Cricetulus griseus: one gene and its partners. The protein of the gene in region 2 purifies or fractionates together with the protein of the main gene of each other region. This does not show direct contact. Links are inferred from orthologs where the notes say so. Each region holds a gene or a part of one and is shown on either strand. Other genes may lie near its edges.

Region 1 (10,387 bases), on a different chromosome or scaffold from region 2:
GCTTCCATTCACAGGTGCTAGGATTACAGGTATGTGCCACCATATCCAGCTTGATTTCCTTGTTTTTAGAGTTACTACAGTTCAGATATGAGGTTGAGGAGCCAAGTTGGCCTTTTCTGTCCACTCCCACTGTGCTGCACTGTCTGTGCTGCCAGGCTAGCACCCTGTCCCCAGCCACCATCATGATCATGTACGGGGACCTCATCAGTCATGATGAGCTGTTCTCCGACATCTACAAGATCTGGGAAATCGTGGACAGGCTGTGCCTGGGGGTGGAGGGCCAGCAGAACAGAGGGTAATGTGGATGACTCACTCACTGGTGGAAACACTTCTGCTGAAGGGGAGGGCACAGAGCTGAAGACACAGTAGTCACCTGTGTTGACACCATGAACCATCACTTACAAGAGACCAGCTCCACAAAAGAGGCTACAGAAAGTACAACCAAGGTTACATGAAATCAATCAAAGGCTGCAGAGCAAACTAAGCACAGCCTTGCTGATTTCAGTAACTACCGTTTTTTTTTTTTTTTTTTTTTTTTTTTTTTTTTTTTTTTTTTTTTTTTTTTACGAAAACACGAATCCAGATGGCATGGTTGCCCTCCTGGACTACCGTGAGGATAGTCTGTTTAAGATTTTAAGAATGGCTTCGAGATGGAGGAATGTTAACAGATTGGATCTATCTATTGCCTGGCTCTATACCCAGATGCTGCTTACACAACACCAGGAGTTGGGACAAATGGGACCTTTGTCATCTTGGACTTCTATTGTGATCTTGATTTATTTGTAAGGTATGTAAAGTATAGTTCAGTAAAATTTCAAAATTTTAATGTTACTCTCTGTGATCATCATCACAGAAGCATCCATCCCCCCCCCACCCCGCTCTCCTCCTAGTCTCCACCCCTCTCTTCCCTTATCTCCATATCCTCTAAGTTGGTCTTGAACTCATGGTTTCAAATGATCTTTCTACCTCATCCTTTGCAGTAGTTAGGTTCCCAGGCATATGGCACCTGCTCTAAAAGTTGTTATCTTAGGAGGGTCAAGATAGCTGAACTGGTACAGACAGCTGCTGCTGAGGTTGACAACCCAAGCGTAATCCCCAAGACCCATATGGTGGGAGGAGAGAACCAACTCCTCTAAAAGTTGTCCTATGATCTGCACAGGTGCCCCACCCCCCAATAAAAACAACTTAATGATTTTTTTAAAATTTAATTTTATTTTATGTATATGTATGTTTTGTCTGCATGCATGTTTGTGCACCATGTCTGTGCCTAGTACCCACAAAGGTCAAAAGGCATCAGATCCCTTGGAACTAGAATTATAGACCATAGCTGCCATATGGGTTCTGGGATTTGAACCCCAGGTCCTCTAGAACAGCAGCAAGTGCCCTTACCCACTGAACCTTTTCTGAGCCTCTGTAATGATTTTTTAAAAAGCTATCATCTTTAAGAAAAGGGATTTTTTGTGTGGTGGTATTTATATGAGTTATAGTTACAGATTCTTATAGCTAACACAGTAAGTACTAAAAGTCCTTGGGTAACAATGGCCACTTTCTTCCCCCACCTGGGATAAGGTTTCTCTGTGTAATAGCTCCGGCTGTCCTGGAACTTGCTCTGTAGATCAGGCTGGCCTTGAATTCACAGAGAGCTGCCTGCCTCTGCCTCTGCCTCTCGAGTGTTGGGACTAAAGGCTTGCACCACCACCACCCAGCTAACAATGGCCACCTTTAAAACCATGTTATGAAGCCATCAATGACAGATTTTTCAAAAGTCCTAAGGACTAAGGATTAAAAAACATTTTTTTTCTGTGACTTACTTTCTATTTCTTTATATTTACTCCTTATATGTCACAATTAATTTTTCTAGAGCATTATATAATCCGAATTTATCACAAAGCATAAAAAATTTTTCAATAAACCAATTAAAATTTGGCCATCTTGGGTTGGAGAGACGGTTCAGTAGTTATAAGGCACTGATTAATCTTCCTGGGAACCTGGGTTAGATTCCCAGAGCCCAATACAGGTCACCATTTATGTAGCTCCAGCTCCAGGGGATCTGACACCCTCTTCTGGCCTCTTCAGGAACTAGGAACGCATGTGGTGCACACACATAAAAAATAATTAAAAATTTGACCATCTTGTTTTAGCTATAATTTATAGTGGATAGTAATCAGTTCATATTTAATAGGATGATGCATGTCTAATTGTCAAAAGAATACGTTAGTGGGAACTTTCATATACTCCAAATTTGTGACTGTTGGCTGATGCCATACCAAATTAAGTGTCATGCATATAGCTCTCATGAGTTAAGCACCCAAGTGTAATTTGTGACTATAAAGAAAGCCCTATCTTTGATTATTTCAACTCTACATATGTTGCTATCTGGGCTGACTGGGTGGCTGGATTCAAGCTGCCTTAAGTATAGTAGGTTACATGACACAGCCAATACCTGAAGAAGTCTGAAAGTAAATTACAATGATTGATTATTTCTAGTTCTGTTAGCTAGTGTCAGTAACAAACGCTAATGAACTGAAAAGCTAGTTAAGTATTCATTGGGCACTTGGTTCCATAGAACAGCAGTATACAGGGGGCCTGGGTATGGGGGCCCTGAGGAAATCTCTTGTATGATATCTCCCAGTTTAGTGTCTTCTTTCGTTGCATTCATTAATGCTTTTGCTACCTATATCATTACATTCTCCCAATAAAAGAGTGAGCTGGGCAGTGGTGGCGCACGCCTTTAATCTCAGCACTTGGGAGGCAGAGGCAAGTGGATCTCTGTGAGTTCGAAGCCAGCCTGACCTACAGAGCGAGTTCCAGGACAGTCAGAGAAACCGTTTCGAAAAAATAAAAAGAGTGTTCTGAGCAGGTAATCAAATCTTGTTCCCCCAAGTGGCACTGTTTAATTTCAGTGATCGATGAAATTGGCATGGAGACTTTACCTAAAAACAGAATCTAAATCGTGAAGAAGCCAAGTTTCCAATGCCCTCAGATACTCGAGCTGTTTTCAGGATGTCCATGCCTAGAATCCCAGGAAGCAGGAGATAGAAGCAGAAAACGCGGCTCCCTATACTTAAGAAGCACGTCCCAGAATCCCACCGGGACTCCAAATCCCAGAAACCCGCGCGCAGCAAATCCATCCAGGAAGCACAGCAGGCTCGCTGAGGACGCGACCAAGTACAAGAATGGGGGGATCAACTCTACGCATGTGTGTGCCCTATAGATGTTTCGCAGGAAAATTTCGGTTTAAAAGCTGAATTTTAGAAATTATTTGAATTTCCAAGATCTACTCCCTTTCATATAGTCTTGTGGTAGACTGGCGGATCCCGTTCCCGCTGCTACCCTGTCCTCCCCCGTAAGGATGAGAGCGCCGGGGCTCCGCAGCTCCTGCGCCCGCCCGCCGCGGTATGCGGCCTTGGGAGCGAGCGTGGTGGGAGGAGCCGCGGCGGGAGGCGTGTTGTGCAGCGCGGCGGGAGGAGCGTCGGGGTTCGGGCTGTGGCGGCGAGGCGACCCTTCGCGCAGCGCCGCGGGCAAGGCGGGCAAGTCGGCGAGGCGGGCGCCCACGGCTTCCCGACACACTCAGGCGGCCAGCTCCCTCGCGTCGCCCGGCACTGCCCCGGCCCCCTCGGCCTCCGGCGGCGAGGCGGGGGAGTGAGGAGATGCCGACCCAGAGGGACAGCAGCACTATGTCCCACACGGTCGCGGGCGTCGGCGGCGGGGACCATTCCCACCAAGTCCGGGTGAAAGCCTACTACCGCGGGTGAGTGACCGCGCGGGCGTGGGCGGGCTCGGCCCGGGTTGGCGGGCTAGGGTCTTGGTGGTGGGGCACGAGCCATCGTGGGGGCGGCGAGGGGCGCGGTTGGTGGCACCCGGGACGAATGAGCGTAGGTCGCCAAGGAGTCAGTGGAGAAGAGTAGGTGCACCCGGAGGGGAGAACAAATCAGCTGACTGAGAGATTTGCAACTGGGTGGATTGAGGATTTTGAGGGTGCTGCTGTGGGTTCGGAAGCCTGGACTGCTCCTGTTAGCTGGCTCTCTTCATTACCGACAGGCCTGAAGCCTCCGATTTTGTAAACCAGATTTGTATCTGCCCTTCGCCGTTGGAGAGTTCATGAAGTGAGTCTGGACTAGGGTCATATAGCCAGTATAGGAATTAAATTTAATACTAAAGTCAAATTTTTTTTTTTTTTTTAGGATGTGCCCTGGCTCCTTAGGTATGGTCAGAATTTAGTGGCAAATATGCTGATCTACATTTTGGAAGCCCTTCTTTAGTGAGAGATATGGAAAAGTGAGAAGACAGCTTTAACTCCTGTGGTTTTCTTCGCTCAGTTGGTCACCAGGCCTTTAAATTAATGTGGCTGCCAAAAGTAATCCAGTTCTAAGAGATCATTGCATCAAATAATTCTCTATCATGACTTACCGTAAAGTTCTTCCCTTTCTTTGAATTCGGTTTGTGGCTTGAGATCATTGAGGAGCACTAGTGAGTGTGAGCATGGGGACTGAAAAGTAGGGATTAACAGAAAACCCAACTGCTTGTCTAGGCAGATTGCTTTTAAAAACTTGGAGTACCACAAGGTTAAAAGTGCTATGCGTGCTTTTACATTCCTGAGGGGATCAGTGAAGATAGCAGACCTTCGGATTGCTTTCTTGTTTTCATTTCAAAGAGCACTGGAGCTCCATGTCTTAATGCTTTCACAAAAGGCCTTAGACTCTTGGAGGCCAGCCTCTGTAACATCCGCTGATTTCAGGACTAATTTGTAGGACTTACAGTAAGCACTGTTGTTAGTTAAAATATAGGCGAGAGAGGTTATGACTTTAAAACAATCCCCCAAACACATTTTCGTTATTTCTTTTCTTGTGAGTTTTTTTAATATAAGTTGGTAGTTTTCATAGCCGCTTTAGCCATTTTGTTTCATGGCTAGACATGAACAAACTTTGCAAGATTGAAAGAACCACAGTCCCCCCTCCAGGACAAATCACACAACTTTATGATAATTTAATAGATATTTTACTTAGAACCCTAGTTCTAAACCTTCCTAATGATGTGGCCCTTTAATACAGTTCCTCAAGTTGGGGTGATCCCCAACCATAAAATTAATTTTATTGCTGCTTCATAACTGTGATTTTGCTATTGTTACCAGTTGTAATGTAAATATCTGTGTTTTCTGGTGGTCTTAGATGGCCCTGTGAAAGGGTCCTTTGATCTCTGCTTAAAGGGGTTGAGAACCACTGCTTTAAAGAGTGCTCCATTTTCAAAGTTGACAGTCCATGGCTATTAGGTGCAGAGGATGAAGTACGGTGGATTTTTAAAAAACTGCCTGATTATTGATAGGTTAACAAACCAGAGTCAATATGAATCCAGGGACATACTAGGAAAGTACATATTGTGTACAGGTGTAAAATAAAGTGTGTCTTTTAACTCTCCAGTCTCCACAGGCTCTACTGTTGATGGTTAACTTGTGGTTCTTCTGAAGGTTGCATTTATTATTCTAAAAGTTGCATTCATTAATCAGCCGCTTAGAGCACTTGCTATTCTTCCAGAGGAGCCAAATTGGGTTTGAAGTACCTGCATCAGGTGGCTTACAACTTTCTGTAACTTTAGTGCCATGGGACCCAGTACCCTCTTCTGGCCACTGTGGCACCCCATACATGTGACACACACATATACATAAACAAATTCTTGGGTTATCATCTTTAGATAATATTTATTGATTACTTAGACTAAAAGATGAAAATTAGTGTATATAATTTTCTATACTATATATACCTTCTGTTTCCTTTGTCTCTCAGATTTTTGTTGTTTAGCTATTGTTTTTAGTTTTTCACTTACTATTCTTAGCCTCCAGGGACTCGATGAAAGAGCAAGGAATTAATGCTTTTTCATTTTCTCCATATTTTTATTAGTTTAACAAGTATAAATAGGCACATTATATCAATAATTTCCAAATTTTCTTTGAAAAGAAATCTTTATTTATTGCTCCAATTATTTAAAAAAAGAAAAGAGAATATGGATATAAGATGTGTCTGTTTAAAATTTCTTGAAGACAATCTTCTAAAATTTAAGAAATTTTACTAAAAAAGACACAAATGACTGCAAGTCTTCAGTGCTTTGTAATCAATAGTAATGTCCTGATAGTACTTTTTCCCCAAGCCTCTTCTACAGACAACCTCAGTACTCTAAACTGTACCATTTTCTGTTCTCTGAGTCAGCCATTAAGATTATGTGTTTATTAACAATAATCTAAACTGGTGATTATATTACAGCCAGCTGCTTATTAACATTGATGAGACTAAAATGACTCACTAGCAAGGACACTTAATAAATAAGTAGGATAACAAATCCCACACATAATTAGAAAGTAGACTCCCCTTCCCTTATACTGTCTTTAATAAAGGAGGGTTTGCTTTTGAAAAATATTTTTTGGGCTGGAGATATACTGCTCAGTTGGTGGAGTTCTTGCCTAGAGTGCATAACCCTGCCATGGGGGACATTGTAACCCCACCACTTAGGAGGTAGAAAGTAGGGAGTATCAGAAGAGTGAGGTTGTCCTTGGCTACATAGTGCATTTGGGACCAGCCTGGGTTACATGAAATTTTGTCTTAAAAATAAAAACTACTCCCCAAAGAAAAAATTCTTTTCATTAGCTTTTTCAAAAGAGTACTATTCCTCCTAACAGTATTACTTTCCAATGAAAGTTGAATCTGGGAGTGTTTTCAGTGAGTGATTTATCCTCTTTAAAATATGTATACAGTCTACTTGGGCTGTTTATGTTTGATTTCTAGGGAAAGTGTGTCCTCCTAGATATAAGAGGCATGCAGTTTGACTTTTTTCTAGTTTTTAAAAGTAGGAGATTTTTTTTCTAGTTTTTAAAAGCACTGAGAATTTAGTTTGACTGGAGACCAACTAAGAGTTCTTGTCTCGTGGTCTGTACACAATTTCCCCCGACATGGGAACTCAGTCAGTGGCCCTTTTCAGTTGTTACATAGGGCTGCTGGAGGAAGAGAAACAGGTTTTTTTGGTTAGTGATATATTGCTATTGTGTGCTTATCCGTATATAAAGGTACTTGTGGGATAGAATTTAACCAGGTAATATGTGGGCTGCTCATTTCTTTACATTGTATGTGTACAGGAGTTTGGCAGAAAGCTTGTAAAAAGTGCTTTTTAAGCTGCTGTTGTTGAATGGTGATTACAGTCCAGAGAACTCCTTCAGTTTGCATTAACTGTTTATGGCAGTAAAGGGGATCATACTGGTGCTTGCAGCTGCCCTCCTACTGAGCTGTATCCACAGCTCAGGATTGACTCTGCACATTTGGAATGTAGAGCTGTTTGCATTTTTTTCCCCTTACACTGAACAAGTCCTGTCAGGTCTTGTTTTTAAGAGCATTGCAAGATTATTTTAGCTGTGTACTTTTAGGCATTGGAGCTGAGGATATAGTTCAGCTGGTGGAGTTCTTGCCTAGTGTGCACAAAGACCTGGGTTCAATCCAAGCACCACATTAAACCAAGTGTGGTTGTGCCTGCCTGTAGTCCCAGTATATAGGAGGTGGAAGCAGAAAGATTAAGACTTCTCAAATTTGTCCTTGGCTGCATAGTCATAACTTGGACCCTGTAGGACCCTGTCTCAAGGAAAAAAAAAAAAAAAAGTGGGAATGGTGGAGTGGGAGCCAGATCCATGGGGTTGTTGACCCATAGCTTGGCCAAAGAGAAAAGAACCCTCAGAAATCTTGAATTTGGTGACACTGGGATAAATGGCGTCTTGGCACTGAGGACTGAAGCCGAGGAGTTGGAGAAATTGGTGAGGTCCAAGAAGCACATGCCCTCTGAAGGGCTGAAGGAAGGAAGCAACTGTTCAGAAAATTCTCCCCAGAGGGAGAGGTGCTTTGCTCCCCTGCTGATCCTCCCCTCCTTGATAGTCTCTGGGGAATTGGCTGGCCTCAAACTCACCAGGGCTGGCCTTGAACTCTCCATCCTCCAGACTGTGACACCTGAATGCTGGGATTACAAGGTGTTTGGTAACACATTTTCCTGTGTGTTCTCTCTCCTTCCCTTCCTCCCTGTCTCCTTTCCCTTGTTCCTTTGCTGTTCTCACACGGGGCCCCATGTAGCCCCACCTGACACATAGCTTACTCTGTAACAGGGCATGACCTTGAGGTGGGATAACAGGTGTGTGCCACCACACCCCAGCTTTGTGTCGTGCTGGTGCTCTAACCCAAGGGTCTCATGCATGCCAGGCAACCAATGCACCAACTTGTTTTTCCAACCTGTTTTCCCTTCTAATTTGATGATGGGACACTATGACATTTTGTCTATTAAAGTTGCCAGACATTTCTCAGTCTCTTGTTCTGAAGATTTTTAGTTTTGTGTAATTAAATCTGTTTTTTCCCTTTATATGTGGCTTCTTGGTTTGCTTCCTTAAGTGGATGTGCTTCTCATTTCTAGGTAGTCTACAGCTTTGTTCTGTGAAGATATTAAGTAGTCACCATCTCAATGTTATATTTTGGGGTATAGTAATCAGTAGTTTTCTGATACAATGTATATTTTAAAATTCTACTGACACTTTTTGAAAGAGGTCTTTTACTACTGGTTTGAAATAACTGTTACATACTGTATTTCTCATAATGTGGATAGATGATTGTCTATTCGGTGCTGTTGATTTGGGGAGAGATCTGTTTAGTACATGCCACAACTTGATTATTACAGAATGTAGTTAATGTGCTTTGGGTAGTCTTACATATTTAATCTTCTCTTTCCAGGGTTTTTGTTTTGATTGAATAGTGTGCATTTTACCAAGAATTTCTTGCTTTCACAAATGAGAACTTTTATTTCCTCGTAGTTTGCATTGCTGTGACTAGAATATCTAACGGCAACAAGTTAAGGAAGAAGTTGTTTAGACTCATGGTCTCAGAGGGCTCAGCTCATGATTTCTTGTTTAGGCTCATGGTCTCAGAGGACTCAGCTCATAATTTCTTGGCCCTATGCAGTCGAGTATAACATCACGGTGGTAGATGCTTGAGGTGTAGGACAGCTGCTGACATGAAAGCGGACCAAGAAGCAGAGAGCAATACTGGAGGTGACCATTGATAAAGTACCACAGAGGCCTCACTGTCATCTACTTCCTCTGGCTAGGCCTCACCTTTCAGTGTTTCCAGAACCTTACAAAATAGTGCCTGCAGCTGTGTATTAAACATCTAGTCAGTGAGCCTGTATCTTTCTCATTGGTTTATTGTATCCTTTTTTTTATTTTAATTGGAGTCTTGCTGTGCTGCCTTGACTGGTATAGTATTCCTAGCCTCAAGTAATTCTCTTGCCTCAACTTCCCTAGCCACTGGAATTACAGGGCATGTCTTTTTGCTCAGCTTTATGTCACTGTTTTTTTGTTTGTTTGTTTGTTTGGTTGTTTGGTTGTTTGGTTGGGTTTTTGTTTTTGTTTTTTTAAAGACAGGTTCTCACAGTGTAGCCTGGCTAGTCTGGTACCCACTATGTAAACCAGGCTGACCTCAAACTCATAGAGATCTGCTTACCTCTGCCTCCTGAGTGCTGGAATTAAAAAGGTGCACCACCATGCCTGGCCTACTACTAGTTTTTGTATGTTTAAACTAAACGGCCATTTATTAACCGTTTCTTGGTTAACTATCCTGGAATCTATAGGATGATGTCATCTCTGACAGTTGTGCTGCTCTTCTTCATCTTATTTTTCTTTAATGTTTGGCTTGGACAGTATTGGATGAGAGCAATGCTTTTCTCTTAATGAAATATAATTGGTAGTAGAAATTTCATCAACTACTTTAAAAATGTTAACATTTACAGTATACTACATCTTTCAAGAATTGTAGTTATGTTGTACTTAGAGTTTTTTTTGTTTTGTTTTGTTCACAACAGTGTTCAGGGAGGTTTTCTTTATTTCCATTTTATAGATAAGATTGAAGCTTAGAAAATACCCATACAGTGTTGGATGAAACTTTCAAAGAACTCTTCTCTTTTATGTGCTTGTTGACTTTGTTTTTGTCCATTTTTTTTTATTTCACTGTTGTTGCTTTTATGTTAATTTTCTGTCTTGATTATGAAAAATAGAAATTGCTTTGTGACTTTTTACTTAAATTTTTATTTGTTTTTAAGATTTGTTTATTTTAGATGTATGATATATGCCTCTATGTGTGTATGTTCTTGTCTGGTGCCTGTGGGAGTCAGAAGAGTGTGCTGGAGCCCCTGGAATTGAAGTTACAGGCTGTGAGCCACCATGTGGGTGCTAGGAACTGAATCCTAGTCCCCTGGAAGAGCAACCAGCTCTTAACCACCAAGCCTTTGCTTAATTTTAAAATTAGGACTTAACAGAATTGATCCATTATGACATTTTCATATAAATATGTCATTCTTTGTTCTTCCTCATTTGCTACTC
Region 2 (10,474 bases):
TCCACAAAAATCTATCACAGTAGTGCACGCCACTAATCCTAGCACTTGGAGGTAGAAGCAAGAAAACCAGAAGTTCAAAGTCATCCCTAACCACACAATGAGTTCAAGGCCTGCTTAGGATTCATGAGACCATGGCTCAAAATTTAATAGGAAAGAAGGGAGGGAGGGAGGGAGGGACGGAGGGAGGGAGGGAGGGAGGGAGGGCACTGACTAAATGGTTCAGAGGAAAATCGTTTCTACTATGGAATCCTAATGATTTGAGTTCAATAGCCAGAACCCATGTTAATGGTGTAAAAATAGACTCAACAAAGCTGTCCTCTAAACTTCACATAAGCTGTGGCATGAGTGTGCACAAACACAAAATTTTAATTTTAAATCATACATATACACACACAGACTTTAAGCAATGCTTATGACTTTATGTTGGGCCACATAATAACTATCCTAGTCCACAGGACCAGCCCCTGGGATTATTTGGTTCTGTGACAGTAGGAAAGATAAAAATGTAAAGGAGATAACAATCTCCACCTGGAATTTTCTAGGATTCATGAGATTAGTCTGTGGACTGGATGGTTGTAAAAACATTTATGTGTGAAGTAAACACAACCTCTAAGGTCAAGGGTTGGGGCCTAAGAGGCAGTTAATAGTGAGAGCCTACACAGCTCTGCCTGCAGGTGACTAGTCTTACAACATTTCATAAACATCAACTGATACAATCTTCCACACTATGAGGCAGGTGCTGTTACTAGCCTTATTTTTTATTTTGATTTTTATTTGAAACAGGTCTCATGTAGCTCAGACTGGCATCTAACTCCTAAAGTTTATGATCTTAAACTCCTGATCTTCCAACCCTTCGTCTAAGTGCTGGGATTACAGGCCTAAATTACCTGCTAGGCTTGCTAGCTTCATTTTTCAAAGGATAAACTGAAGTCACAAAGCATGACTTAAGATTGAACATGGCTAATAAATGACAGATCAATGATTTCAACCCAGACAGTCTAGCTCCAAAGTCTATGCTTCCAAGTGCTCTAAACAGCAGCATCTCCAGAACACACAGCAGCAAACTAAAGCAGCAGATGGAAACAAAAGAGCCTCAAGAAAATGATGTGTTAAGTAAAGCAACACAGTCAGAGGTTCTCTTCCTGTGACAGTGCACCAACACAGCAACTTAACAACTAATACTAGGTATTAAATTTAAAAACAAACTGGAGATATGGCCCAGCTGTTAAAAGCACTTCTATCCTTGCAGAGGACCCAGGTTGGTTCCCAGCACCCACAACCAGTCCTAACTTTAGTTCCAGGGAATCCAACCACCTCTTCTGACCTTTGTGGACACCAGGCATGCACATGATGCACACAAAACACATTCACACAAAACAAATCTAAATGCACAAATATACACATTCTCCCTCCCCCCCACCCTGCTGGGTCTGCTAGCTCAGGTCTGTAATCCTAACTACTGAAGAAACTGAGATAAGATTATGGCAAATTTGCTGGGCATTGGTGGTACACACCTTTAATCCCAGCACTTGGCAGGCAGACAGGTGGACCTCTGTGAGTTCGAGGCTAGCCTGGTCTATAGATGAAGTTCCAGGTCAGGCACCAAAGCTACAGAGACACCCTGTCTCAAAAAAAACAACACCAAAAAAAAAAAAAGAGTATGGTAAATTTAAGCCCAATCTTGATAACTTAATGAGACTCTTAATTTTTAAAAATTAAAAACTGATTTTTGTTGTTGTTGTTGTTGTTGTTGAGTCATGATCTCATGTAATTCAGAGTGGCCTAGAACTCCATGTCACCAAGGCTGGCCTTAAACTTCTTCCACATCCTCCTATACTTCCCAAGTGTTAAGATTATAGGAATGAGGCTGGAGAGATGGCTCAGTAGTTCGACTGCTCTTACAGAGGACCTGGTTTCAATTCCCAGCACCCACATGGGAGCTCACAACTGTCTGTAACCTGACACCCTCACACAGACATACATGCAGGCAAAATGCCAATGCACATAAAATAAAAATAAAAGACTGTAAGAATGTGCTACCTTGACCAGTTTCATTTTTCTCAACTGCAAGGGAAGAACACATTTAGATGACAAAACATTTAGTTTCTTCATGGAATAAACATCTAAGACCAATGTCCCAAGGTAACTAACTAGTGAAGAGGAACTCTGACACCAGAGAGAAGAACTCTAACACCATGAACTTAAAGACACCAGCAGTGACAGACAAAGCTGAATGGCACTAACAAAAATGCTTCAGTAAAATATGTTGGACAGAAGAGATGAGCATCTAAAAGTAGAAACTCAGAAGGGGCAAAACATCACATGAACAGGAAACTTGACACTGCAAGGGGGAAGAAGGGAGTAGAAATAAGCTACTATTTGCCAACAAAGAAATACATGAAGATGAGGAAACAGAGGTTAAGTTTGGATACATTTTAGGAAAATAAGAGAATAATTACCAGATGAGTTCCTAATTCCCAGATAGTGCACTTAACTGACAGACAAGGACAAGCAAGGAACTTAGCAATAGTTTCAGTGAGTCCAGATTTGGATATGGCTGGCCAGGCAAATAAAGTAATCTCAACAAATGAAACATGAAGGACTATAGGATGCACAGAAAAACAGTGAGAATGGTAACCCTCACAAATTAGCAAATATTTATTAAAAGGACACACGATGGCCATACCAAGTCACAGCCCTGGATTCACAGGACTTATTTATGTTCTATCAGGGGAAACTGACAGCAAACATTTTGCAAAGACTGAAAAGGCACTATCATAGGAATACAGAATAGCCCTTTAACACTGAGGGACAGAGAGCTGTTTATGGGAGAAAAATGCACCCACTATGAACTGTTCCCCTTTATAAGAGATCTTATACCCTAAAATGATTAAATGTTTCTTATACTCTTAAAAAACAACTAAAATGAGAGAATTCCATTTAAATTGTAGTACTATAAATCAAAGCATAATTTGACCTGTGCTTCCAAACCCTATCAGTGCTACTTCCCAAAAAAGACAAAGTACATAATTGTCCAAATTTAATAGCTTTTGGGTATTTTTTATTTTTATCAGTATACACATAAAAATAAAAATGCTTCTTTCATAGATCATAAGATGACAAGTGGGGCAGCATTAACTAGACACAGTGGATCACAAAAGAGGACACAGAGTTGGGAGGGGAACATATTGGGGACAGGGATCAGGTGGTAGAGAAAGGAGATAGGGATGAACATGATCAAAATATAAAACACTTTGTATGCATGTATGAAAGTATGAAGGAATAAAAACATTTTAAAAAACTATTTCAAGTGCAAAAAAGAAATCCTAAGTAAACAAACTTTGACATTTTGTAAACTTCAGGATTCAGTCTTGATGGGCTTGCTTAGAATACTGGACAGGGGAAATGTGTTTACTAAGCTACGGGGTTGGTCACTGTATGAAACATCTTAAGAGAATGTAACAGAAGACAAGACACCTTTGGGTCTTGAACAAATTACTGTATATATTTTCAAAGCTCCTTTTTAATACTCAGTTAATTACCAATCTTATTTCCTTGCCTTAGTCTAAAACCTAAAACTTCAAAGTAATTGCTTATTTTTATTATTACTGTGTGTATTTCTAAGTGTGTACACATGCATGCTTGCATGCTGCCAAAATGTGAAGATCTGGGACAGTTATTGTTTTTCTTTTTTCAAGACAGGGTCTCTCTAGTCCTTGATGTTCTAGAACTCTCTATGTAGACAAGGGTGGCCTCAAACTCAGAGATACACCTGCCTCTGCCTAAGATTGAAAGTATGGAACACTAAATAAATCCAGCTAGATGACAACTTTTGGGAATCAGGATTCTCTCCTCCCACCATGGGTTCTGGGGATCCAACTAAGGTAGTCAGACCTGCCTGACCAGTGCTTTTATCCACTGAACCATCTCACCAGCCAGATTACTTAATTAAAAAGAAAAAAATACAAACTGGTGCACACACAAACTTTTTAAATAAATACAAATTGGCTCACATATAAACTTTTTAAACATAGAAAGCTAAAAAATACAGTAGTAAATAAATGCTCCAATGTTATACTCCTATGTCACAAAAAGACTAACAGTGTATTTTGGAAGATTCAAGCGCCATACCTACAAACTACAGAAAGTCAATTTGAATACACCACTCTGGTGTTTCTTAACAAGCAATGCTATTTTCTATACAAATGAGCAATAATGGGAAAATTCTTTCTCAAACATGAGCCACCCTTAAAAGGATGCATTACACAAGTGGACCTCATTTGCTCTGCAATGTTAATGTTCTTCAGCACTGCTGCATTTTATAATCAAAGGACACAATTCTAGTGATACAAGTCTAAAAATATTACTCAAGTTTTGGGGGTTAAAAATTAAAACCAAGGGTGGTAATTTAAGTAGTTCATGCCTGTAATCCCAGCACTTAGGCGGCAGGGACTATTCTATCAGTTTCCCATGACAGAACATAAATAAGTCCTATAAAGAGAGACTTAGAAGGAAGGAATGTCCCTTTAAGGTCAAGGCTAGCCAGAACTAAACATAGAGACCCTGTTTCAAAATAAAAAATAAATCCGAAAACCATTTTTAATGGTAAAACTAAAGCATGCAACTTTAAGTTGCAATTCTAACAAAGACAAATCAGATATACAACTAAATTCTCTTTTTAGCTCACCCTTAGCACCATGCACCAAATTTAGGTTCCTTACATCAGGTTAAGTCACAATTGGTCAGTGTGGCAAAGAATTGCTCCCACAAGAAAGTTCAACCGAGTACAGACAGCCAAGGGGACCTTTAAAGTTCATGCCTACCTAAGTGGCTGCAGACAGTGTGTATTCCCTGGCCAAAAATAACCTAAGCCTAAGATTTTTAACCTTTCCGTATTTTAGATGCATCTCAGGCAGCCATCAAGGCAGGCAACATGATTTCAACAACAACAAAAAAAAAAAACACACCACCTGACTCTGAACCGACGTGCTGAGTGGAGTGACCCACTAAGGCCACAAGATGTATCTTAATTTGTGGAGCCCTGACTTGTAGGAGTTAAAACTCTCACCCCTTATGCTGAGATGACGTAATCTTCCACACTGCATTTCTACGGGACTTAAAGGGGAGGAAAGAGGAATTAAAAAAAAAAAAATAGAAAAACCAACAAAGAAAATTTCCTGCTAGTAATGAGGAACCGAGCAAGCGGCCAGGCGGGGTTTCGGGAGGTGCTTAGACAGGTCCCGGAAGGCAAGGAGGCCGGCCCAGTCGCGGGAGCCCCGGGAGCCGCGGGGCAGGAGCGGACGGACACAGCGCGGGGCTGGGGACCGCCGAGGGGCGCAGGCGCAGAGCCGCCCGGTCCGTCACCGTGGCCCCGGCCCGGCCCTGCGGCCGCAGTTCCGCTCCCCTCCCCCGCCGCCCGCCCGCAGCAACGCGTCCACGGCGGAGCCCGGGAAGCAGGAAGTCGAGACCGAAAACGTAGACGGCGGCCGGCGGCCCCCGGCCCCCGGCCCCCAGCCCCCGGCCCGGAACCCGGCCCTACGTCCGCTGCCCCCGTCCAGGAGTCTGCGGAGCCCGGGCGGGCGGGAGGGCGGACGGGCGGAGGGGGAGGGGAGCCGGTGGGATGGGTGTGCCTGGTTCTCCCGCCGCCACTGACAGCTCGGCCGGGATGCGCCCTCCGCCGCCGCCATCCCCGGCAGCGCCTCGTCGCCATTCCGGCCCCAAATCTCTCCGCGACCCCGCCTCGTTCCCCTCAGAACCCGGGCCCGCGGGCGCACGCGAACCCGGCAATCCCCCCCCTCGAGGCCCGCAGGTACCGGGATGCCCCCGACCGCGAGCATCCTCGAGGACCGAGGGAGGGCGGGGGCGCGCGACAGGGACCGGGCGATGCACAACACACTCCCGCGGGGAGGCTACTCGGGCCCCGCACTCACCTCAGCTTCTCCGCCGGGGCGTTGGCAGCACTGCGCGGGGCCTCCTCGGCTGCCGGACAGGGGCACGCGCCTGACGTCAGCACGCAGGGGACGCACGGTTGGGTGCCCGCGGAAGTGGGCGGGACAAAGAGGAAGAAGGGGCTGGAACGGGCCGCGGTGGGCGTGGCTTGGTAGTGGCTCCGCCCGTATCGCGCACGCGCGGGCTGAGTTCCTCCTATACTCAGGTTTTCTGCACGTTTTACCAGTGATTTTTATTCGTAATAAAACTATGAACAGAAGTGTTCACAGTGTTGTCACTAAAGTTTGTTTTTGTCCTTGGAACTTTGTGAAGAAAAGCATTGTAAATATATCTTATTTTTAATTTTTTTATTTTGAGACAAGGTGTCATTATATAGCCCTTGCTGTCCTAGAATGGCTATATAGACCAGACTGTCCCAGAACTCATATTCTCCTGCTTCTGCTTCCTGCGTGCTGATACTCAACACCATGTCTGGGATGTCTTTTTGGTTTGGTTTGGTTTGGTTTGGCTTGGCTTGGTTTTTTTGAGACAGGGTTTCTGTGTATAGCCCTGGCTGTCTGGAACTTGCTATATGGTCCAGGCTGGCCTGGAACTTGGAGATCCGCTTGCCTCTGCTTCCTATGTGCTGGGATTAAAGATGTGCATCCCCATGACCAGGGTACCTTTCTTTAATGACGTTTGAGACAGGGTCTCATGTAGCCCAGGCTGGCTTTGAACACAACTATGTAGCAGAGGTTGACCTTGAACTCCTGATCCTCATCCTTGCACCTCCCAAGTGCTGGGATTGTAGGCATGCATCTCCACACCCTGCATCCTTTTTTGCTTCTCAAAGAGAAATAGAGACTTGTTGTGCACAGCTTTCTGAAGCCCACGGGCCTCTAAACAATCTGCCTGTCAAGGAGTGAGAATAGAATATTGCCCTGGGTTTTGTTTAGAGCTAGAGACCCGCCCCCTCAAAAAGGTCCTGCATTTACTCTGCCTAGCTCCTCTTCCCTGGCCCCCTAGGTTGACTCTTGAAGGGACTCTAGCCAGCCCGAGTGTGGCAAACATGGCCTTGTCCTCCCACATCCCCTCTGTCTTGCTAAAAATCGTTAGATTATAATCCTAAAACTAGCCACCATGGTCCATTCCCTTATTTAGCCACTTCCTCCTCCTGAGGCTGACTGCCAATGTCCAGCTATCAAAGTATTGTAGTCCAGCGATCAAAACCCCCCTTTGTCTTACCTAATTAACCTGTCCAGTCAAATTTCATCCTAACTCAGGATTTCCCCCTTTTACCTTTATAAACTGCTGTTTGTCTATGGGCCATGTCTGTCTCCTCTCAATCCAGAGGCAGTCCTTTGTACCTCTGGGACAAATATTCCTTCCCTCCTCTCCCTTGTTCTCTTTCCCTTCTCCCTGGTCCTCTGTCTCCTGTCTTTGTCTCATATTCCCTGCCCTCTGTCCCCCTGGGTCAAATAAATCTCCTTTGTGCTGAGAACTTGGGGTGTCTTGTGCTAGTCCCTTCAGCTCTGATCTCTCAAATCCTTCTACCTTCCCTGTCTTCTTGGTACCTGTTTGTTTGCTGTCTTCCCTGTTAGTGCGAAAGCCGCTAGAGAATAGGGATCCTGTCCTAGTCTCAGATGCTTCCCGATATCAGAAGAAACATCTTAATAATGTTCATTTGCAAGCCGGGCATTGGTGGCGCACATCTTTAGTCCCAGCACTCGGGAGGCAGAGGCAGGTGGATCTCTGTGAGTTCGAGACCAGCCTGGTCTACAAGAGCTAGTTCCAGGACAGCCTCCAAAGCCACAGAGAAACCCTGTCTTGAAAAACCAAATAATAATAATAATAATAATAATAATAATAATGTTCATTTGCAGGCTGGAAGTGTAGCCCAGTGAGTGGAGTGCTTGCCTAGCATGCACGAAGCCCTGGATTTGATCATCACTACCACTTTAATAAAGTATGGGGGTGAACAGCTCTGATCCCAGAGCTTGGGAGGTGGAAGCAGGAAAATCAAAGGTCATCCTTGAAGGCATAGAGAGTTCAGTCTGTCCTGGGATACATACACCCTATCTAAAAATAAAAGAAAAAAATAAGTCCACTTAGCTGGGCATGACACTGCATCCAGAAGGGTGTGTCATTGTATGTCAGGAATCTTAACTTGAACAGTGGAACTCTGAGCTTACAGATGCGCCACTGCATCCAGCTTTATGTGAGCCCTAGGGATTAGAACTCAAGTCCTCACACTTGCATGGCAATCACTTTACCCCCAAGCCACCCCCAGCCTGCCATCTACTTCTCTCAAAGCTGCACTGTAAACATCTTTCCGTGTCAAATGAAGCCCCTCTTCCAAGGCTGCATTCTACCATGTGGATCCACGTCTACTATGTGGGCAGTCTCACACTGTTAGGATTTAGGTTGTCTTGCCTATTGCAAATTCTCCCTTCAGTGCCAGGGTGGAAACCAGGGCCTACCAATGTTAGGCAAGTACTCTCCGGTTCAGCTACACCCTTCACTCAGACTACGTCAAATGCCAACTTTTTACTATCACAAGAAAAAAAAAAAAAAAAGAAAAGCCGCATCAATTTCTTCAGCCTGAGAGAAACTGCTGCTTTTCTCTGTTTCCAAGGCTAGTTGGCTATGTCCTTTCTTTCCTCCTGCCTCACAGTGCCATGAATGTCCCCAGACAATGCCTGCCCTTTCCATCAGCTGCCATATCTTGATGGGGTGTCACCCAACTGTTTGGCCTTGCTTGCACTTATTCTGAGAACAAGGACTCACTCAGCACTTTGTCCCCTGTTTTGTCAGAAGGCACCCTTGACCTTCCCACCACCCCAAGATGGAGTGGGTTACTCCTTGACCCCTATCTACCCTATCGAAAGCTGCCAGCCAAGACTCCAGGCTCTCACGTCTCCTTCGCCCTGTTCCCTTGGCTCTATCTCCATTAAATTAGCAGGATGGCAGCCTTCAAAGTCTGTCTTAATTAGGGTTTCTATTGCTGTGATGAAACACCATAAACAAAAGCAACTCAGGGAGGAAAAGGTTTATTTGGCTTGCTTTTCCACATTATAGTCCATCTTTGGAGAAAGTCAGGAAAGGAGCTCAAAGAGGGAAGGTTCCTGGAGGAAGGAGCTGATGCAGGGGCCGTGAAGGAGTGTTGCTTTGGCTTGCTCAACCTGCTTTCTTATAGAACTCAGGACCACCAGCCCAGGGGTGGCACCATCCACAATGGGCTGGACCCTCCCCCATCAATCACTGATTAAGAAAATGCCTTGCAGGCTTACTTACAGCCTGGTCTTATGGAGGCATTTTTCTCAACTGAGGCTCCCTCCTCTTTAATGACTCTAGCTTGTGTCAAGTGGACATAAAACTGGCTTTCACGGTGTTCCCCAACTCTCCTGTAGTACTGGTTCAAGCATCTTGCCTATAGGAATAGATGTGTAACCCAGGCTTGACCAGTCTCATAATTGCAGACAGAGCTGAATAGGCAGCAGGCAGGGGACCCAGTTTCTGTTTTGGAACTTGGTGAGAACTGTCCAGCTGAATGAATGGAGTTGCTGAGGTCAGGTGTGAGCATGGCCCTGCTGTCAGCCAGCCTCTTGCTCCTGAAAATGGGAGCCATACAAAGCCATATGCAAAGGGAAGTACCAGGAGCATTGTGCCATCCACTGGGTGCTGGCTTGTTTCAGTATTCAGTTTCATTAGCCAACAAATACCCTCTCCTGCCTGGACCAGGTTGAATGGGTTTCTGTCACAAACACATGGGTGTTGGATCCCCTGGAACTGGAGTTAGACTGCTGTAAGCTGCCATGTGGATGCTGGGAATTGAACCCTGGTCCTCCTGAAGAGCAGTTAGTGCTCTTAACCACTGAGCCATCTCCCCAGCCCCTATATCTCTGTTCTTTTTGCCCCTCCATTAGTGCTGAGCTTACTTCTCATTAAGCTCTAGCCAAGACTTTTTTTTTTAATTTTATGAACTGTGGGGTGCACCCACTGAGCCAGTCATCTCATCACATCCAAACACAAGGCTCTTGAAGTCACTCTGCCACCTCTGCTCCTTGACTGTTACTATGTGGTAATAAGCTCTACCCCCTCTCTAGATAACTTCCACAGCTCCATCTCCTCCAGGTCCTGATACCACACCCATCTCCAAATTCCCAGCTATCAGCACCCCAAAGTCACACTGGAGCTCCTCCCTCTCTTTCTTTTTCCGGGTTTTTCCGGTTTTCAGAGCTGCACTGCTCTGACTGACTTCAAACTCACAACATGGCACTCGGCTGGCCACAAAATCCTAATCCTTCTTGTCTCATCTTCACAAGTGCCAGGATCTCAGACATGCATCACCACAGCTGGCTGGGAACACAGCTTTGGTCAACATCAGCCTGTGTGCTTTCCCACCTCTGTGTCTCTAGATTCCACTTTTCTCTTTTTTGTTGTCAAACTCCTCTCCTCTGCAAACTAGGTCTGTCTGAAGCCTCTTAATCATTCCTGAGATACCTTGTATTAACTATGGGGGTGGCTAGAGAGATAGCTCAGTTAA
Region 3 (10,203 bases), on a different chromosome or scaffold from region 2:
ACTCAAACCAAATAGAATCTGCCACTTCTGTCATTCGGCATGGTTCTGAAAACTTAGGTACAGAAAGCTCATGTCTGTTGGAATGATCTCCACAGTTCACACAATTCTGTTCTGAGGATGAGGGTATTAGAGGCCCTGTGAGTTGATGGAAGAGGAACAGCACAGGGACAGGAAGGCCAGACCTCTTAGAATCTTTCCATGCCATCTCCCTCACTTGGCCTCTTAAGCTCAACTGCACTCTGCAAAATGAGGCCAGCTTCACTGGTACTGCTGGCTTCAGTGGGCAGCTGCCAGAATCAGTGATCTGGTGATTCCGAGCACACTTTGAATATGAATATAAATGCATTTTACTGCTGGTGGCTATAGCATAATGAATGACTCCTGGGGTAAACTCTCCAGATATTGAGGTCTATAGATGTTTCCAAAGACAGCCAAGCACACTTTGATTCACACTGTTCCTGCTGGACACCTGGGTGATTGACTGACTGACTGATTGATTGATTGGTTGATCTGTGGGTTTTGCAAGACTCGGTTTCTCTGTGTAGCCCCAGCTGTCCTGGAAGTCACTCTATAGACCAGACTGGCCTTGAACTCACAGAGATCCGCCTGCTTCTATCCCAAGAATGCCTGGATCTTAGGTGTGCACCACCACACCCAACTGACACCTGTTTTCTTATCTGTTCTAGTCTACCTTTTGGGGGGGAAACATTAAAATAGACTATTGGCTAAAAAGAAAAGAGGGATAGCTCAGTGGTTAAGAGTACTGGCTGTTCTTCCAGAGGACATGGGTCCGGAGCCATATGGTGGCTCACAAACCATCTGTAACTCTAGTTCCAGGGTATCTGATACCCACTTGGTACACAGACATCAGGCAAGCAAAACACCATACACATTCATTTAAGTTAAATTTTAAAAACCTTTTTAATGGGTGGTGGTGGCACATGCCTTTAATCCCTCCCAGCACAGGGGCAGGAGGATCTCTGAGTTCGAGGCCAGCCTGATCTACAAAGCAAGTTCCAAGACAGCCAGGACTCTTACACAGAGAAACCCTGTCCCAAAAAAGCAAAACAAAAGTAATAATAATAATAAATAAATAAATAAAAATAAGTTTAAAAAAATTTTAAAGGAAAATGACTCAGCAGATCAGAGTGCTTACCAAACAGGCATGGAGGGAGGGAGGGGGAGGGGAGGGCCTGAGCTCAAATCCCCTGCACCCACATGAAACCCCAGGCATGGCCACAAGCACTTGTAACCCTAACACTATATGGGGAAGCAGGATGATGGCTGGGAATGCTGGCCACTAGTCTAACTCCAGGTTTAATGAGAGACCTTTTCTCAAGGAAATAGAGAGTGACACACCAGGACATTTGACATCCTCGTCTGATATCTACACAAACAGAAACATACACCAAACACACACACACACACACACACACACACACACACACACACACACAATGTATTTGTCATGCCCCTCTTAGATAAACTGAATCATAAAGTAACCAAATAGCCCTCAGATGATGAAGGAAGTCCTTTTTGTTCTTTGTGTGGTATATAAGTGTGTACAGGGATGTATAATAACGCACATCTCACACATACGCAGGGACCACGAGTACACTGGGTGTCATCCTTTATTGTTCTCTGCTCAACTGCCTGGAGACTGGTCTCACTGACCCTGGAGACAGGGTCTCTCACTGAATCCAAAGCTGACTGTTTTGACTAAGCTGCCAGTCCAGGGAGCTCCTATTCCTCATTTCTAAAGCTACGGCATGCAAACTATGCCTGACTTCTTACATGAGTGCTGGATCCTCAAGCTTGCACAGCAAGTACTCTTACCCATGGAGCCATCTCCCCATCCTGGAAGTCCTTTCTTAAGAAAGAATTTCAGCTAATTAATGAAGACATGATAGCACTGGAAAATAGTCATTTTGTTTCGCATATAGCCCTGGGTTCTATCTCTAGCACTGGGGGAAACAAAACAAACAAAACACCAGTCATCTTGTAACCCCAATAAGGTTCCAATGAGGGCGGACAACAAGTCAGGTGGTGAAAGCTAACGGGGAAACTCATTAGCTATCATGAGATAGAGAACAGCACCGCAGGAACAGGTACTTAGTATTGTCAGAGGCAGCACAAGACGATGCTGTGTTCCTCCTGTGAGGTGTATGTAAACCACATGCTGCCACCACTTTCCATTAAACCTAATCAAGCCTTTAAGAGCCAATATCCGTTTATAGGGACTAAGGAGGGACAAGATGAATGACACGGGAAGCGAATGACGCCAGAATGTCAGGAAAAGTGATCCAGTTTCTTAAAAAGCCAGGGACATTAAAAAATGAAAAAGGGAGCAGTGTGCCTGGCTAGAGAAGGCCTAAGAGGTAAGCATCATGTTCAAACTTTTAGATTCTTCTCGTGTGCAAACTTTTAGATTCTTCCTTTTTTTTTTGGGGGGGGGGGGGATTAGGTTTTGAGACCGGGTTTCTCTGTGTAGCCGTGGTTATCATGGAACTGACTATGCCTCGAACTCAAAGATCCACCTGCATCTGCTTCCCGTGTGCTGGAATTAAAGGTGCACACCACCTCTGCCTGGCTAGATTCTTCTTTTTAATTAAACAGATTTACTTCTTTTTAATTTAAAATTTTCACTGTACATTTCACTGTACATGGTACTCTGTTATATAAAGACAATTTTTTTCTTTTTAGACAATGAGTGAAACTGGAAAATGGCCATCCTATTTTCTGAGGCAGGGTCTCTCATATCATTGAACCTAGAGCTCACTAATTGACTAGGCTGGTCAGCCAATGAACTCTATGGATCTGCCTACCTCTGCCTCCCAAGCACCGGGATTACAGGTGCATGCTGCCATAGCTGACTGTGTGCTGTGGATCTGAAGTCAGGACTTCTTGCTCGAACTAACTGAGCCATCTCCCTTGCCACTGGCCTTGAACTTTTTATTCTCTTTCTTCCTGAGCACTGAGATTATAGGTAGGCACCATTGTGCCTGCCATGACAAAATTATTTTAACTTGCCCTTCCCCACAGCACAGCCCCTTGTCTGTTTGCATTTGATTTGGTGACAGGTGCCTGGAACAGGAAAGGTGGACCAAAAGGAACCCATCTTCCTGGGCCCTGCTTACCGCTTGGCTTCCTCCAGCCGGCACAGGTACTGATAGGCAACATTTTGTCGCCTCTGCTCATCCATCTCCTCAGCTGTGAGGCGTTCATCTGAAGTGTGAGGGGACACAGTCAAGCAATGCAGCCTTAGAGAGGGATTCCCTCACCCACACTGGGCAGCTCACAATGACCTGTAACAAACCCTCCTCTGCCTTTGTGGGCACCCCCACACACAAGGCAGATATACACACCGACACATGCCCACAAATAAAAATAAAATAAAGCTTAAAAAACAACAACAACAAAAAGACAGGAACCTCAGCTCTGATGCTGCTTCTGGACATATTTCCTAGGCAGCCCCTTCCGAGCACAGACGCACTCTCCAGGTCCTAGTTCTTCTCCCCAGTGAATCCATTAACAGGGAGCACCCTTCTCTTCCAGAGACATTTCCTTCTTTCCTCTGCAGCCATCTCCTGTCTTTCTCCTCTTTCCCAAGTCTGCCTCAATGTCACTAGCAGGGCTATCCAGAGCCGTCCTCAACTGGGAGCTTAGCTTTGAATGTTACCCTTCATTACATGCTAACTTCTCAAATATATGCTGCCACAGGTCTCCCTTGGAATCGCGGCTGACAGTCAAGGATTAAGCCCAGTCATTCATTCACTCTGTACCTTTCTGCCCCGCCCTGGGCTAAAAAAATACAAGCCCATCGAACATGCAAGAAACGACAGCTTTGGTGGATTTGTCTTTGACTGGGCACCAGTCATTCTTACTCTTTATCCTATTTCCTCATCTTGGATATCCTGCTGTACGGTTTCAGGAAGGGCTGGGCTTATTTGAATTGGCAGTTATAAAAGTTCAAACCCACAGACGCACACTTCCAAATACAGATTTGAAAGCACTGGCCAACGGCAGAAAACGCAGGAGTTCCTCTGAGAGAGTTTACAAGGAACAAGAGTTGGCTGTTCAAGAATGGAAAATAAACCCGTAAGAGAGTGACATCACCTCAGAGCTATGAATTGGGGACTCAGCGAGATGAAATGGGCGGGGCCTTGAGCGTGAGCACCAGAGCGCGCGCGCGCACAAAGTGTCTCAAAAAAGCCACACGAACCAAAAACAACCACCACAAAAATGTTTTTTTCTGGCACGAGCATTCCCTCACGTGGTGGGTGGACACCGATTCTGCTATTTGTGTCCAAGTGGTGAAGGACTGTAAAGAAAGCAGGTTTTGTTTTTCGTTCCGCCGATCCTTCCAGCCCTTCCCAGAAACCTGGGTCTCTCTCTAAGCAAACAGTGTTTCCGGTGGCCCAGGGCATCCTCTATGCACTGTGTAGCTAAAATTGATCGTGAACTCTTGACCCCCTGCCTCCACTTTCCAACTGCTGGACTTCCCGGAGTGCGCCGCCAAGCCCGCCCTCCGGGTGCTGCGTTTTAAACAAGCCGCCAGGTGACCAGGTACCAAGTCCTTTGAGACGCATTGCGGAATCCCATCCCGTGGCGCCCTTTGGCAAGTACGGGAACGGCAGGATTTAAGAGGCCACCTAGACTGTCTACACTCCCCGCCCCTGCGGCCCCAGAGCCTGGGGATGAGGGACAGCGCCCTTTGAAGGTTGTGCAGCGCGGTCACCCTGCGCACGCCCACTCCCCACCGTGCTCCAGGCAGCCCTCCCGCGAAGGCCAAGCCCCACCAGCAGCACCCACTCCACCCTGCTCAGGGCCCTCCCGCACTCACAGGCTGTCCGAGCCCGGCTTGCCGAACACGGCTCCATGTTCCCTCTCCTGCCAGTTTTGAATCTCCCGCCGCCGGGACACCACCCCTCACCGCGGTCACACCGGGATTGGGACACTTCCGGTCGTGCGCAGGGAATCTTGGGTTTCGTAGTTTCTCCCAGGTGGGGAGGCGAGGGATAGCTTTGGGGCAGTTCCTTGATTTATTTGCTCTTTCTGCAAGACCCGTTCTCTGCTCAGCTGGCTTTTTCAAATAGTCCCTGCCGCTGCCCTTCCTTTCATTAACCTGTCCCACTTCCTATAGAATTCCCGGGACTCCCTGTATGCTACTTGGTGTTATACACTGAACTAGGTGACAAATACAGGGGTAAGCATGCTCTCTAGAGAGTGGGGTTATAACAAGTGGTAGAGACAATGTCAAAAAGCTTGGAGGTCAGTGCCACACTGAGAATCACTGCGTGGACGGCAGAGACCTTCCTAGTGGAGGCTTCGGCTGATCATGAGGCAAGATTAAAAAAAAACAAACAAACAAAACAAAACAAAAAAAACGTTCTAATTTTTAAAAGGCATGGGTAGGGAATGGTGTTGTGGAATATGAATTGAAGATGTGTGGCATTTGTTTATGCTGTGAAACATTTGTTTAATGGTGCAAAGATGTGTTGCGTTCTTTCATGTTGCATTTGTTTAACTCTGTGAAAGCTATGTTACTTTGCTTGTCTAAACACCTGATTGGTGTAATAAAGGCTGAACAGCCAGTAGCTAGGCAGGAAAAAAGATAGGCGGGGCTGGCAGGCAGAGAGACTAAATCTGAGGAGAAAGAAATCTGGGTAAAGAACATCTGGGAGCAAGAGGAGGGAGGAGGACATTGGGGCAGCCACCCAGCTACACAGCAAGCCACAGTGTAAGAAGTAAAGGTAAGTATATAGAATAGAGAAAGGGGAAAGCCCACAGGCAAAAGGCAGATGGGATAATTTAAGAAAAGCTGACTAGAAACAAGCCAAATTAAGGCCAGCCATTCATAAGTAAGAATAAGACTCCATGTATTAATTTGGAAGCTGAGTGGCAGCCCCCCCCCACCCCCGAAAAAGTCAAAAGAGTAAAACAAAAACATAAAACAAAACAACAACAATAACAAAAACGCTACAAATGGGACCCCTCACCATGGGGGTGAAATCTCTACCAGCTAAGAGTTAAAACTTCCTACTTAGAGCTGTGTCTGCTCTTCCAGAGGATCTGGGTTCAGTTCCAGCATCTGCATGGTGGCTCACAGCTGCCTGTAACTCCAGCTCCAGGGGATCTGGCACCCTCACACAGACATTCATGCAGGCAAAACACCAATGCACATAAAATGAAAATAAATAAACCAGATGGAAAAAAAACTTTCTATACAACTAACAATTGATGTAAGGACTACCTACAGAGATAATATTTTTTTAGATTTTATATATTTATTATGTATACAATATTCTGCTTCCATGTATATCTGCGCAACAGAAGAGGGCACCAGATCTTATAACTGATGGTTGTGAGCTACCATGTGGTTGCTGGGAATTGAACTCAGGACCTCTGGAAGAGCAGTCAATACTCTTAACCTCTGAGCCATCTCTCCAGCCTGAGATAATATTATTTTTATACAGAAATATTTCAAGTAAGAATGGTACAATATGAGGAGTGAACATGATCATAGCACATTGTAAACATATATGAAATTTCCAAAAGGAAAAAAGGAAAGAAAAACATGTTAAAATTACAGTGGGTCTTCCAGTCTGGCCTTACCCCTCTTTTTCCAGATATGAACCTGCAATGTGGAATGAAAGCCTAAGGGTTCCCCAAGTCCCTTAGGGACCCCAGCCTACAGTGCCTTTGGTAACTGCTGAATTTTAAGGGGCTTTCTAAATCATCCACATTCTCCTAACCCCGGAGCCCCAGAACCTGGGAATAAAGGAGAAGGTTCTGCAGCTAGAGAGCAGGCACGTTTACCTGCTTGTAGGCATACTTCTGCAGGCTCCCACAGAGCAGTGCTTTGGGCAATGCCTCCTACAAAGGCCAAGCCCCTTTCTTGGGAATCTCACATATAAGAATATAAACACTGTTTACAGTGAAAAACAGTTCAACTGTCTTGTGCAATCTTCATGTCTGCCTAAGGCTTTTCCTTCTCTGTGTGACCTGGTCCTGTGCACCTAGTCAACCAACCTATGATCCCATTTAAGTTCCTTGGCAACCTTCTCAGATGTAACTGCAGAAGCCATCGAAATCTGATGCTTGGTTATTACAAAGGCATAAAAAAGCATGACTCACGCAGAAGCCCACACCCATGATTGGTGTGTACTCTCTTTTTTCCCACTATTAACAGATGTGCCTAAAAATCCGTTCAAAACTCTTAAGAAAAAAACTCCAAGCCGGGCGTTGGTGGCGCACACCTTTAATCCCAGCACTCGGGAGGCAGAGGCAGGCAGATCTCTGTGAGTTCCAGGTCTGGTCTCCAGAGCGAGTGCCAGGATAGGCTCCAAAGCTACACAGAGAAACCCTGTCTCGAAAAACAAACAAACAAAAAACCTCCAATTCTGTTTCATTCTGACTTGTCCTGCAATTCTTTTCTGCTGCAAAATTTGAAACCTGGTTTTGCCTGGTAGATGTGTCTGCATGGAGCTGTGCCTCTGGTCCCTGATAATCCAAGTTGAAAAGGGAAGAATTTACCAGGTTAAAGGTGAGAGGCATTCTACACAGTGGAAACAGCATGTGTAAGAATATTAGGGACATTAAACTTGTGTTAGTGATGTGGAAAAGGTCAGCTAGGGAGAAGGATGTGTCTTACACATCTTAGGCAACTTGCCAAGGTACTGAGACAAGGGCTGGTGAGCAACTGCTAACCCTTCAGACGCAGGTCAGAGCAGCTTGGTGCTTTAGAAAAGATGACAGCAAGGGCTTGGAGAGAGTGAGACTGGGTACAGACTAATTGGGAAGCTACTTTGGTGGCACGGAGGACAGATAATACGGCTTCACTAATAAAGACAATTATAACAGCTCTGGTGAGAAAAGGACCAGGCTTAGTGTGTGATAGGCTTCTAGGACCTGTATTTATCCCTTCGTCCTTCTCCACACATCATGCAAGCAGCAGCGGCCAAGGCTCAAAGCTTCATGGCAGACATTTGAAAAGGCTCCATGTCCGTTATTGCAAATTGTCAACTTGGCAGAATCACCTGGAAGATAGGCCTCTGGGCATGCATGCCTCTGGGGGATTATCTTGATTATGTTAACTGATGTGGGAAGACATTTAAAAATTGTGGGTGGGACCACTACCTGGACAGGGGATCCTGGACTATATAATGTGGAGCTGAGCAAAAGGCACTGCATTCGCCACTCACTGTTTCCTGATTGTAGATGCAGCTACTTCAAGCTCCTGCTGCTTGGACTTCGTACCATGATGAACTGTGAGCTAACATAAATCCTTTCTCACTTCAGTTACTTTCTTTAAAATATATATATATATATATATATATATATATATATATATATGTATATATATATATATATGAATGCTTTTTGGAGATTATAATATAATCACAATATTTATCCCTCTCATTTCCTCCCTTCAAACTCTTCCATATACCCCCACTTCTCTCTTTCAAATTCACAGCCTCTAGCCATTTATTTGTGCTCTTTCTGATTCTTTAATGCTGGCACTTACAGCTACAACCCCCTCCCCCAGTAAGGCTGCTTTCAATGTGTCCCAGGGGTTTTGTTGGTTGTGTTTTTGTTTTCATTTAGTTCTGGAAAGTTTTTTTATTTGTTTCTTGTTGTTTTCTTTGACCCACTGATCATTCAGTAATGAGCTGTTTAGTCTCTATGAGTTTGCATACTGACTAGAGTTTTTTTTTGCTGTCAATTTCAAGTTTTATTGCATTGTGCTCAGATAGGATACAAGGAGTTATTTCAATCTTCTTGAATTTGTAAAGATTTCTGTGTTCCAGATGTGGTCTACTTTAGAAAAGCTTCCAGAATGGTCATTCTTTGGTATGTGGGTGAAACATTCTGTAGATACTTGTTAAGTCCATCTGGAGTACGATGTCAATTAGTTGGGATGTTTCTCTGTTTATTATTTTATTTTGTTTTGTTTTGTTTTTCTGAGACAGGGTTTCTCTGTGTAGCCCTGGCTGTCCTGGAACTTGCTGGCTCTGTAGACCAGGCTAGACTCGAACTCAGTGCGATTCACCTGCCTCTGCCTCCTGAGTGCTGGTATTAAAGGCGTGCGCCACCAGTTACTCTGTTTATTTTTTGTCCAGATGACCTCTCTATTGGAGAAAGCGGGGTACTGAAATCACCAACTATTAATGGATTGGAATTAATTTGTGTCTTTAAGCACTGTACTAGATTTTTTTTTTATGAAATCATGCACCCCAGAGTTCGATGCATATATGTTTAGGATAGTAATGTCTTCTTTATTAACCGTTTCTTTGCTTAGAATGAAATGTCCCTCTTTATCTCTTTTGATTTGCTTTAGTGTTTGTCATTTATTAGGATGGTGATACCTGCTTGCTTCTTGGTTCCATTTGATTAGAGCAATTTTGTCTATCTTTTTTACTCTAAGGTGGTACCTATCTTTAAAGCTGTGTTTCTTGGAGGTAACAGATAGATGGATTTTGTTTCTTGATTAATTCAGTCAGTCTGTGTCTTTTGAATGGAGAACTGAGGCCACTGGTATTTAAAGTTATTATTGAAATGAATATGTTGCCGGGCATTGGTGGCACACGCCTTTAATCCCAGCACTGGGGAGGCAGAGGCAGGCGGATCTCTGTGAGTTCGAGGCCAGCCTGGTCTCCAGAGTGAGTGCCAGGATAGGCTCCAAAGCTACACAGAGAAACCCTGTCTTGAAAAACAAAACAAAGCAAACAAACAAAAAGAAATGAATATGTTAATTGTGATCATCATGTTTATATTCTCAGTGGTATTCTGTGTTTTAATAATTACAGAGGGAGTGCAAGGATGTGGTGGACAAGACAGAAGGAACTGGACAATGATTTGGAAATTATCTCGGTTGTGGGAGTTCCTTCAGGATCTTGGCTAAAAGCACTTTCAGCCCCTGCCCCTCCCCAGATGATCCTCCTGAAGGCCTGCTGGATGGCCACTTGGTGGCCTAATAGGCCTGGAAAGGCTTGCTAGCACCGCTGAAAGTCCAGGCTAGACCAGAAGCTTCAGCCTGCCTGGGGCACAAACATGGTGCTTCGTACCAGGCTGGCACCAAAGACTGTGTTGCAACTGTGATCAGCATGTCTACTCCATGACTTTCTTTCTGACAATGGCCTGTCTACTTCAAAAGGGCTTTTCCCTAAGTAAATGAGGACATCTACTTTCAGATGCAAACAT

The links.
Region 1: the proteins of Cdc42 (region 2) and Prkci purify together in Homo sapiens (co-immunoprecipitation; 3 studies listed by BioGRID and IntAct, with this or other methods). This does not show direct contact. The link is inferred for Cricetulus griseus from reciprocal best matches to the Homo sapiens genes CDC42 and PRKCI.
Region 3: the proteins of Cdc42 (region 2) and Iqgap3 purify together in Homo sapiens (affinity purification with mass spectrometry; 4 studies listed by BioGRID and IntAct, with this or other methods). This does not show direct contact. The link is inferred for Cricetulus griseus from reciprocal best matches to the Homo sapiens genes CDC42 and IQGAP3.

The regions. Positions count from the first base shown.
Region 1 is NW_023276806.1:119,646,522-119,656,908, forward strand, and holds the start of Prkci (protein kinase C iota type), read left to right. Parts: upstream 1-3,454; 5' UTR 3,455-3,650; coding exon 3,651-3,751; intron 3,752-4,041; exon of another isoform or gene 4,042-4,101; coding exon of another isoform or gene 4,102-4,106; intron 4,107-4,255; exon of another isoform or gene 4,256-4,270; coding exon of another isoform or gene 4,271-4,278; intron 4,279-10,387.
Region 2 is NC_048595.1:15,949,779-15,960,252, reverse strand, and holds the start of Cdc42 (cell division control protein 42 homolog), read right to left. Parts: upstream 6,053-10,474; 5' UTR 5,931-6,052; intron 1-5,930. UniProt on the Homo sapiens protein: Plasma membrane-associated small GTPase which cycles between an active GTP-bound and an inactive GDP-bound state. In active state binds to a variety of effector proteins to regulate cellular responses. Involved in epithelial cell polarization processes.
Region 3 is NW_023276806.1:66,388,658-66,398,860, forward strand, and holds the start of Iqgap3 (ras GTPase-activating-like protein IQGAP3), read right to left. Parts: upstream 4,950-10,203; 5' UTR 4,881-4,949; coding exon 4,844-4,880; intron 3,226-4,843; coding exon 3,138-3,225; intron 1-3,137.